2 linked regions of the Macaca fascicularis genome follow. The protein of the gene in region 2 purifies or fractionates together with the protein of the main gene of each other region. This does not show direct contact. Links are inferred from orthologs where the notes say so. Each region holds a gene or a part of one and is shown on either strand. Other genes may lie near its edges.

Region 1 (3,500 bases), on a different chromosome or scaffold from region 2:
AAGTACAAAAAGTTTGTGTCAGTAGATCAGAATGTAACTGAGAGAAATAAACATTTGGAACTCTAGGTAAGAATTGTAGGCCGGGTGCGGTGGCTCAAGCCTGTAATCCCAGCACTTTGGGAGGCCGAGACGGGCGGATCACGAGGTCAGGAGATCGAGACCATCCTGGCTAACACGGTGAAACCCCGTCTCTACTAAAAAATACAAAAAAAAAAAAAAACTAGCCGGGCGAGGTGGCGGCGCCTGTAGTCCCAGTTACTCGGGAGGCTGAGGCAGGAGAATGGCGTGAACCCGGGAGGCGGAGCTTGCAGTGAGCTGAGATCCGGCCACTGCACTCCAGCCTGGGCGACAGAGCGAGACTCCGTCTCAAAAAAAAAAAAAGAATTGTAATTATAGCCCCACCGTATGTTTGCACACATCTTTAAACCACCTCATTTGTGTGGACATCGGGCCCATTGTGGGCAGAATCTGAGACTTTGTGAATTGGATGACTGTTCACTGTTTTGTGCTCTAACCTGGCTGCCTCTCAATAGTTACCATAAAGCAAGTATTTAGAAAATCTATGAGAGTTTTTCTAATTGAGGTATGGTTTTAGAAAACCCTTATAAACATTAAAAATCTAAAACACTGAAAACTTTTTTAAATGCTGTGTTAAATACTTCAAAATATCTGATGATATTTTTCTCTTATAGTTTAGGTGTGAATAAATTTAATCCACTATAAATTAGATTTGATAGCTTGTCCTTTTACATTGTCTGGCTGATGGACTAAATTAGAAGTATATTGGGAACATGAACCTCCCAGGTTAAATAGTTGGTGTAAACTGGATTTTCTGACTTGCTAACTTTAGTGAAATAAGAGGGCTTCAGTGACATGAAGAAGTAAATACATCTTCCAACATGCTCAGAAAAAATGAGGTTCACCTAATAGGATCCATCTCAGATATTTAACCAGATCAACCTTCTCATATACAGGCAGTGATGTGTAGAGCCGCCCAGTTTCTAAGCGGTGTATTGGCGTTCTTACCCTGCACGCTGTATTCTAGTTGAGTTATTGTTGTTAATGCTGCCCATGCTGTACTCTGCTGACGTGTACTGCACATCTCAGGGCTTGACCACTTACTGGACGAGAACAGAGTGCCGGACCTCGCGCAGATGTACCAGCTGTTCAGCCGGGTTAGGGGCGGGCAGCAGGCGCTGCTGCAGCACTGGAGCGAGTACATCAAGGTACTGGTGGGGTTTCGAGGCCGCAGGCGCGGGCGTTTCCTGCAGGGAGCAGAGCCCCTCCTGAGAACACCCAGTGCCCTGACAAAGGGAACTGGGCTGCTGGAGGGCCGGTTGGCATTTTCATCATAGATGATAGGGTGGATGGTAGTGTTCTATCTGCTTCCCCATCACCAGTGTGAATTTGCTTTTTAAGATAACACCAGCAGTGATTAGCACCATCCAGGTAGAAAGTATAACTTAAAGATCAACAGTTTTGCTCTTCTTCATCAGCGTAAATATTGGTTTAATTCTAAATCATGATTTTTCTGAAAGTAATCATTTTTGTAAATCTGCTTGTCAGACAAGATCTCCTCATGCCCTTAGCTCAGTGAGAACTATTATCTATTTGGCATATTAGGTAGCTTTATAGACTTTATTTCTTAACAGACCAAATTTAGGATTTGTTACTTAAACTTTCGCTTTCATGTTTCGAAAGCATTTCTTTGGCATCCCTGACAAGCCCAATCTAACCCGTCATAGAGTGGCTTCTTGGGCAGTACCCTGAGTTTTCACGTGTCCTGCCCAGGAGAACAGCCCCTCGGTGCTGACATAGGACCTCCCTGAAGACTAGGGGCTCTCGGCCCAGGGCACCACCCCACCAAGGGGACACTTGTTGATGTGTGGAGACGTTTGTGGCTGTCTGAACAGAGAGGGTACTGCTTGCTCTGCTGGGCAGCCCCGGGGTGCTGCTGAATGCACGAGGCAGCCCTCACCACAGAGAATCACCTGCCCAGAGTGCCAGTGTTGCCCAGCCCAAGAAACCTACTGAAGACCCTCTATAATGAGAAGCCATTCTCCAGATGCCCCTTACAGAAACAGGAGAACTGAGGTAAACATCAGGGCCCCTTCACAGATAACTCGTGTTTTCAGTATGTGCCAGTTGCATGAATTTTCCAGCTTAAATGGTGAGCGTTTAGCAGGAGTCTGTGTGTGTGCTTGCTGGTGACTATTCTTAGATCCCAGAATGAAAAGATAGATAAAATTTCCAGAGAATTACGCTGAGAGAAAAAAAAAAAAAAGCCAATCGCAGATACTTAACATGTTATTGCATAACATTCTGGAAATGGCAAAATTTGGAAATGGAGGACAGATGAAAAGTTACCGGGGTGTAGGGATGGAGCGGGGTGTGTGGTTATAAAAGGCCCCAGGAGGTAGCCTTCTGCAGGAACTGTTGGGGTTTTGGCCGAGGTCTAGATGTGCACACCCAGATGAGTTACAAGTCAACTGGGCCATCTGAAAAAGACCTGGGGGGTTATCAGTGTCAGTATCCCGGTTGAGATACTGTTCTGTAGTTTTGCAAACTTGCCATTGGAGGAAACTATGGAAAACAAAGATACTGGGATTGCTTTGCTATTTTTACTATTATGCAGCACTTTCATTATCTCATAAGATTTCCATTAAGTAAAAAAGATAAATGAAAGCATACGTGCTGCTTTATGGAATAATCAGACCTCAAGTCACGTATCAGTCCAGCTATGCAAAGCCGGCACACCTAGCAGCTCTCCCCACAAGGTCTTGTACAGCGACGTTGAATTGGAAGTTACAACTGAGTCACACTAAATTGGCCATAAAGCTACTGAAGATTTAGGTTTTTTGCCAGTGAGACAGTCTTCAGGGGATGAGAATATGTGCTAAAAAACTAGGAAAAGTTCACCTTTGCAATTTCCAGTCTGGGTAATAAAAATCAGTGAGTGACCGTCACCCCTGAGTGTCAGCAGTAAGCAGTTATGCTATAACAAAATAGTGGTTTCCATTCAACTCCACATGCCGTTATCAAAGTAAAGCTGTGCCCTTTCTGTTGGCATCTTTTTTTTTTTTTTTTTTTTTTTTTTTTTTTTTTTGAGACAGAGTCTCGCTCTGTCATCCAGGCTGGAGTGCCGTGGCATGATCTCAGCTCACTGCAACCTCCGCCTCCTGGGTTCAAGCATTACCCTGCCTCAGCCTCCTGAGTAGCTGGGATTACAGGCTCCCGCCACCACACCCAGCTAATTTTTGTATTTTTAGTAGAGACGGGGTTTCACCATATTGTCCAGGCTGATCTTGAATTCTGGACCTCGTGATCCACCCGCCTCGGCCTCCCAAAGTGCTGGGATTACAGGCATGAGCCACAGCGCCCAGCCTTCTGTTGGCATCTTTCCACCGGCCAGCTACCTCGTGTGTGTGTGTGACGTGTGAGTGCACGTGTGCATTGTATTGAGACACATTTTTTAAATCCAATAATTGTATTCAGTTCCT
Region 2 (4,108 bases):
TTCAGTTTGCTGTGCTAGGCTTTACAAGTTGCTATGAATACTCTTTTACATATCTTTCTGTTACTATTGGCCTTGGAACCATCCGCTTTCTTTAGAAGACTGTGTACTTCTACTTTTAATCAATTTTGCATTTATCTTGCAGTTACTCTGAGGGAAACTTTGTTTTCCTCATTCTGGCATTCTTAGTTAGCAGTTTACTGTAGCCCTTTGAAAATATGCTGACATCACCTTAGATAATTCATTCACAGAAACTATTAAATTAACACAGTAATGCCAATTAACTGTCTCTGTAGAGCTGTTTTCTGTTCCTTAGAGGCCCCACAGAAACCTCTGACATATTGTGGGTGATATGTAAGAGATTTTATAGTTCTATGACATCACATAATTTCTTTTTCCATAAAATTGTGTTGGTGTTCCCTAAGTATCTTAAATTGAATTAACTCTAAATAAATATATAAGAACTCTAGTGGCATAAGAAAAAAAGGAAGTACTACTTCTATCTCAAATAGGTGAAGCCATTACTCATTTCAATGTCCACTTTCAATTGATCAGTTGATTTCAGCCCTCATTACACTGAGGGTCTAAATTCTTTTCACTAAAGGAGCCTGCCAGATTTAACAAATAAAAATAGAGGACACCATGTTAAATTTGAATTTCAGATAAATAATAAATAAAATTTTAGTGGCAATATATCTAATGTAATATTTGAGACCTACTCATACTAAAAAAAGTATTCATCCTTCATCTGAAATGCAATTAACTATGCATACCATATTTTATCTGGCAACCCTATATCGATTCTACCAGTTAGAGCACTCAAGGTTTCCCTCAAGCTGCTCGATTTAAGATATTTCTTGTATGTCAAAAAGTCACTAGCTGTGGGACACTTAGCTAACTTTTCACTGTTCTTGCCTACATCTTCATTTTATAGAGTACATTACCTTCAAGCAAAACACTGAGAGGCTTCTAAAAACTATTTTGCTTAAAGAGGATCACTTTTGCTCATGGTTCTCTAATAAGAACATTTTCCAAGGTGCAGCAAGTTTCATCTTCAAAAACCCGCAGCTACTCACAGTGTAAGATGCCTGTCGGGGTGGGGCTCTGGGCCTGGGAAACCTAGAGCAATCTGGATGCTGCGAGGAGGCGAGCAGGTAAGAAGCTTTCTGAACCTCATGGGATCCCATACTGGCAACTGCCTTGGCAGAATAGTTTATTGTCCCCTTTAGCCAATCAGATTGGCGTTTGATTGCCACGCGCTTACTTCCTTCACGACCATCAGTCCTAACCGCAGGCCAACTTTCTTCCCAGAGCTTTTAGGGGCCTGGCCTTTGCAGTTCCAGATCAACTACAGCAAAGATCGTTCGAGATGTCCCACCAAGAGGGAAGCACAGATGGCTTACCAGACTTAGGGACTGAAAGCCTGTTCAGCAGCCCAGAGGAGCAGTCTGGAGCAGTGGCGGCGACAGAGGACTCCTCAGACATTGACATAGCGACCTCAGAGCAGAGTGTGACAATGACCGGAGATGACAGTGATACCAGGGATGGTGGATTCCCCAACGATGTCGGCACAGAAAATCGAAGCTCAGACCGAGAAAGTGCAAGTGAAGACATCGAACTTGACAGCATGGAGGACTTTGAGCATTTCCTCATGAGTGGTGAAAGTTTATTCCATTACCCTTTGGTGGGAGAGGAGGAGACAGAAAGGGAGGATGAAGAAGAGGAGATACAGGAGGAGGGAAGGGAAGAGGCGGAGGGAGGGGAGGAGGCGGAGGAGGAGGAGGAGGAAGAAGAACAGCCTCGGGCGGGTCCACAATGCAGTGGTGCCAACCATGAGCAGTACTTGTTAGAGGAGGATCGGGCGCTGGAGGAGTGGGTTTCCTCAGAGACATCTGCCCTGCCCCTACCTCGCTGGCAGGTCGTTACTGCTCTTCACCAGCGGCAGCTGGGTTCACGTCCCCGCTTTGTATATGAGGCCTGTGGGGCAAGAGCCTTTGTGCAGCGTTTCCGCCTGCAATATCGTCTTGCAGACCATGTCGGTTGTGTCAATACTGTACACTTTAACCAGCGTGGCACCCGGCTGGCCAGTAGCGGTGATGATCTAAAGGTGATAGTGTGGGACTGGGTACGGCAGAGGCCAGTACTCAACTTTGAAAGTGGTCACACAAATAATGTCTTCCAGGCCAAATTCCTTCCTAATTGTGGTGATTCCACCCTGGCCATGTGTGCCCGTGATGGGCAGGTACGGGTAGCAGAACTAATTAATGCATCATATTTCGAGAATACTAAGTGTGTGGCCCAGCACAGGGGACCTGCCCACAAGTTGGCTCTGGTGCCTGACTCTCCTTCTAAGTTCCTCACTTCAGGTGAAGATGCTGTTGTCTTCACCATTGACCTCAGACAAGACCGGCCAGCTTCAAAAGTTGTGGTAACAAGAGAAAAGGATAAGAAAGTGGGACTATATACAATTACTGTGAATCCCGCCAATACCTACCAATTTGCAGTGGGCGGACAAGATCAGTTTGTAAGAATTTATGACCAGAGGAGAATTGATGAGAAAGAAAACAATGGAGTGCTCAAGAAATTCACTCCTCATCATCTGGTTAATTGTGTTTTCCCAACAAACATCACCTGTGTTGTGTACAGTTACGATGGCACAGAGCTTCTGGCCAGCTACAATGATGAAGATATTTACCTCTTCGACTCCTCTCACAGTGATGGTGCTCAATACACTAAGAGATTTAAGGGGCACAGAAATAATACCACAGTCAAAGGTGTTAATTTCTATGGCCCCAGGAGTGAGTTTGTAGTGAGCGGTAGTGATTGCGGGCATATCTTCTTCTGGGAGAAATCATCCTGCCAGATCATCCAGTTCCTAAAGGGGAACAGAGAAGGTACAATAAACTGTCTTGAACCCCACCCTTACCTACCTGTGCTGGCGACCAGTGGCCTAGATCATAATGTGAAGATCTGGACACCCACAGCTAAAGCTGCCACTGAGCTTACTGGATTAAAGAAGGTGATTAAGAAGAACAAGTGGGAACGAGATGAAGATAGCTTGCACCATGCCAGCCTGTTTGACCAGTACATGCTTTGGTTCCTCATGCGTCACCTGACACAGAGAGGTCATCACCGGGGCTGGAGAAGTGGTGAAGCCGAATTTCCAGATGAAGAATCGGATGAGTCTTCCAGCACCTCAGAGACATCCGAGGAGGAGGGCCAAGACCGAGTGCAGTGCATGCCATCCTGAAGGCCTCATACCCAGTCCAGCTAGATGCCACCTAAGTACACTGGACTTTAAAATTCAGTTTGACTAATTTAGAATTGTCAATAGATTAATAGATTTGCTTTTTGTCTTCTAATTTCCACAATATATGCTGAAAACCATCTCTTCCATTCCTTCCTCTCTGCTTTCCTTTCTTTCTTCCATACATTCCTTCTCTCATTCCTTTCCTCTTGGTTTCTTTATGCCTCTTTTGTTACCCCTTATTCTTACATGAGTGCATACGCAACTTATTTATGCCTCTTTTCCCTTGTTCCCTTATAGTTGACCTCTAGATTTTCTGAATTTTGTTGAAAAAATTAATACCCTTATTAGATGCATCTACTCAAATCTGACATTCTGAAAACAGTTACCTTTTTACTTTTTTTCATCTTTAACAATTTTTTCTGAAGATCAAGTTCTTCAGTTAACCTGAAAATTTCAGAAATATGTTTCTTCTTTAGAAGTAAAATAAGACAAACTATAGTTTTGTTCTGTCGATACTGACACTTGGCTGCACACACACAGTCTCAGAAAAGGAAAAGAGAAGTAGTGTGCAGATTAATTCCTAACACTTGGCCATGCACACACACAGTCTCAGAAAAGGAAAAGAGAAGAAGTAGTGTGTAGATTAATTCCTAACCAGATAATTCATTCCCTCAGAATAAATAACATGAGATTGTCTACATTTTCTGAATCCATATATTAATTTTTAAAAATTTGAGTACACTGTAGCTGGTAAGAATTAAATTAAATTTGATCACATGACATTGTTTACTCTGCGCATTAAGTTTTCTTAAAGTTTTAAGGTTGGGAACTCCTACAGGGTTACCTTCCAGGAAGTCCTCC

Evidence for each region.
Region 1: the proteins of DDB1- and CUL4-associated factor 8-like protein 2 (region 2) and CUL4A purify together in Homo sapiens (affinity purification with western blotting; 3 studies listed by BioGRID and IntAct, with this or other methods). This does not show direct contact. The link is inferred for Macaca fascicularis from reciprocal best matches to the Homo sapiens genes DCAF8L2 and CUL4A.

Annotation. Positions count from the first base shown.
Region 1 is NC_088391.1:103,655,873-103,659,372, forward strand, and holds part of CUL4A (cullin-4A), read left to right. Parts: intron 1-1,107; coding exon 1,108-1,226; intron 1,227-3,500. UniProt on the Homo sapiens protein: Core component of multiple cullin-RING-based E3 ubiquitin-protein ligase complexes which mediate the ubiquitination of target proteins. As a scaffold protein may contribute to catalysis through positioning of the substrate and the ubiquitin-conjugating enzyme.
Region 2 is NC_088395.1:27,734,689-27,738,796, forward strand, and holds the start of DDB1- and CUL4-associated factor 8-like protein 2, read left to right. Parts: upstream 1-1,308; 5' UTR 1,309-1,366; coding exon 1,367-3,247; 3' UTR 3,248-4,108.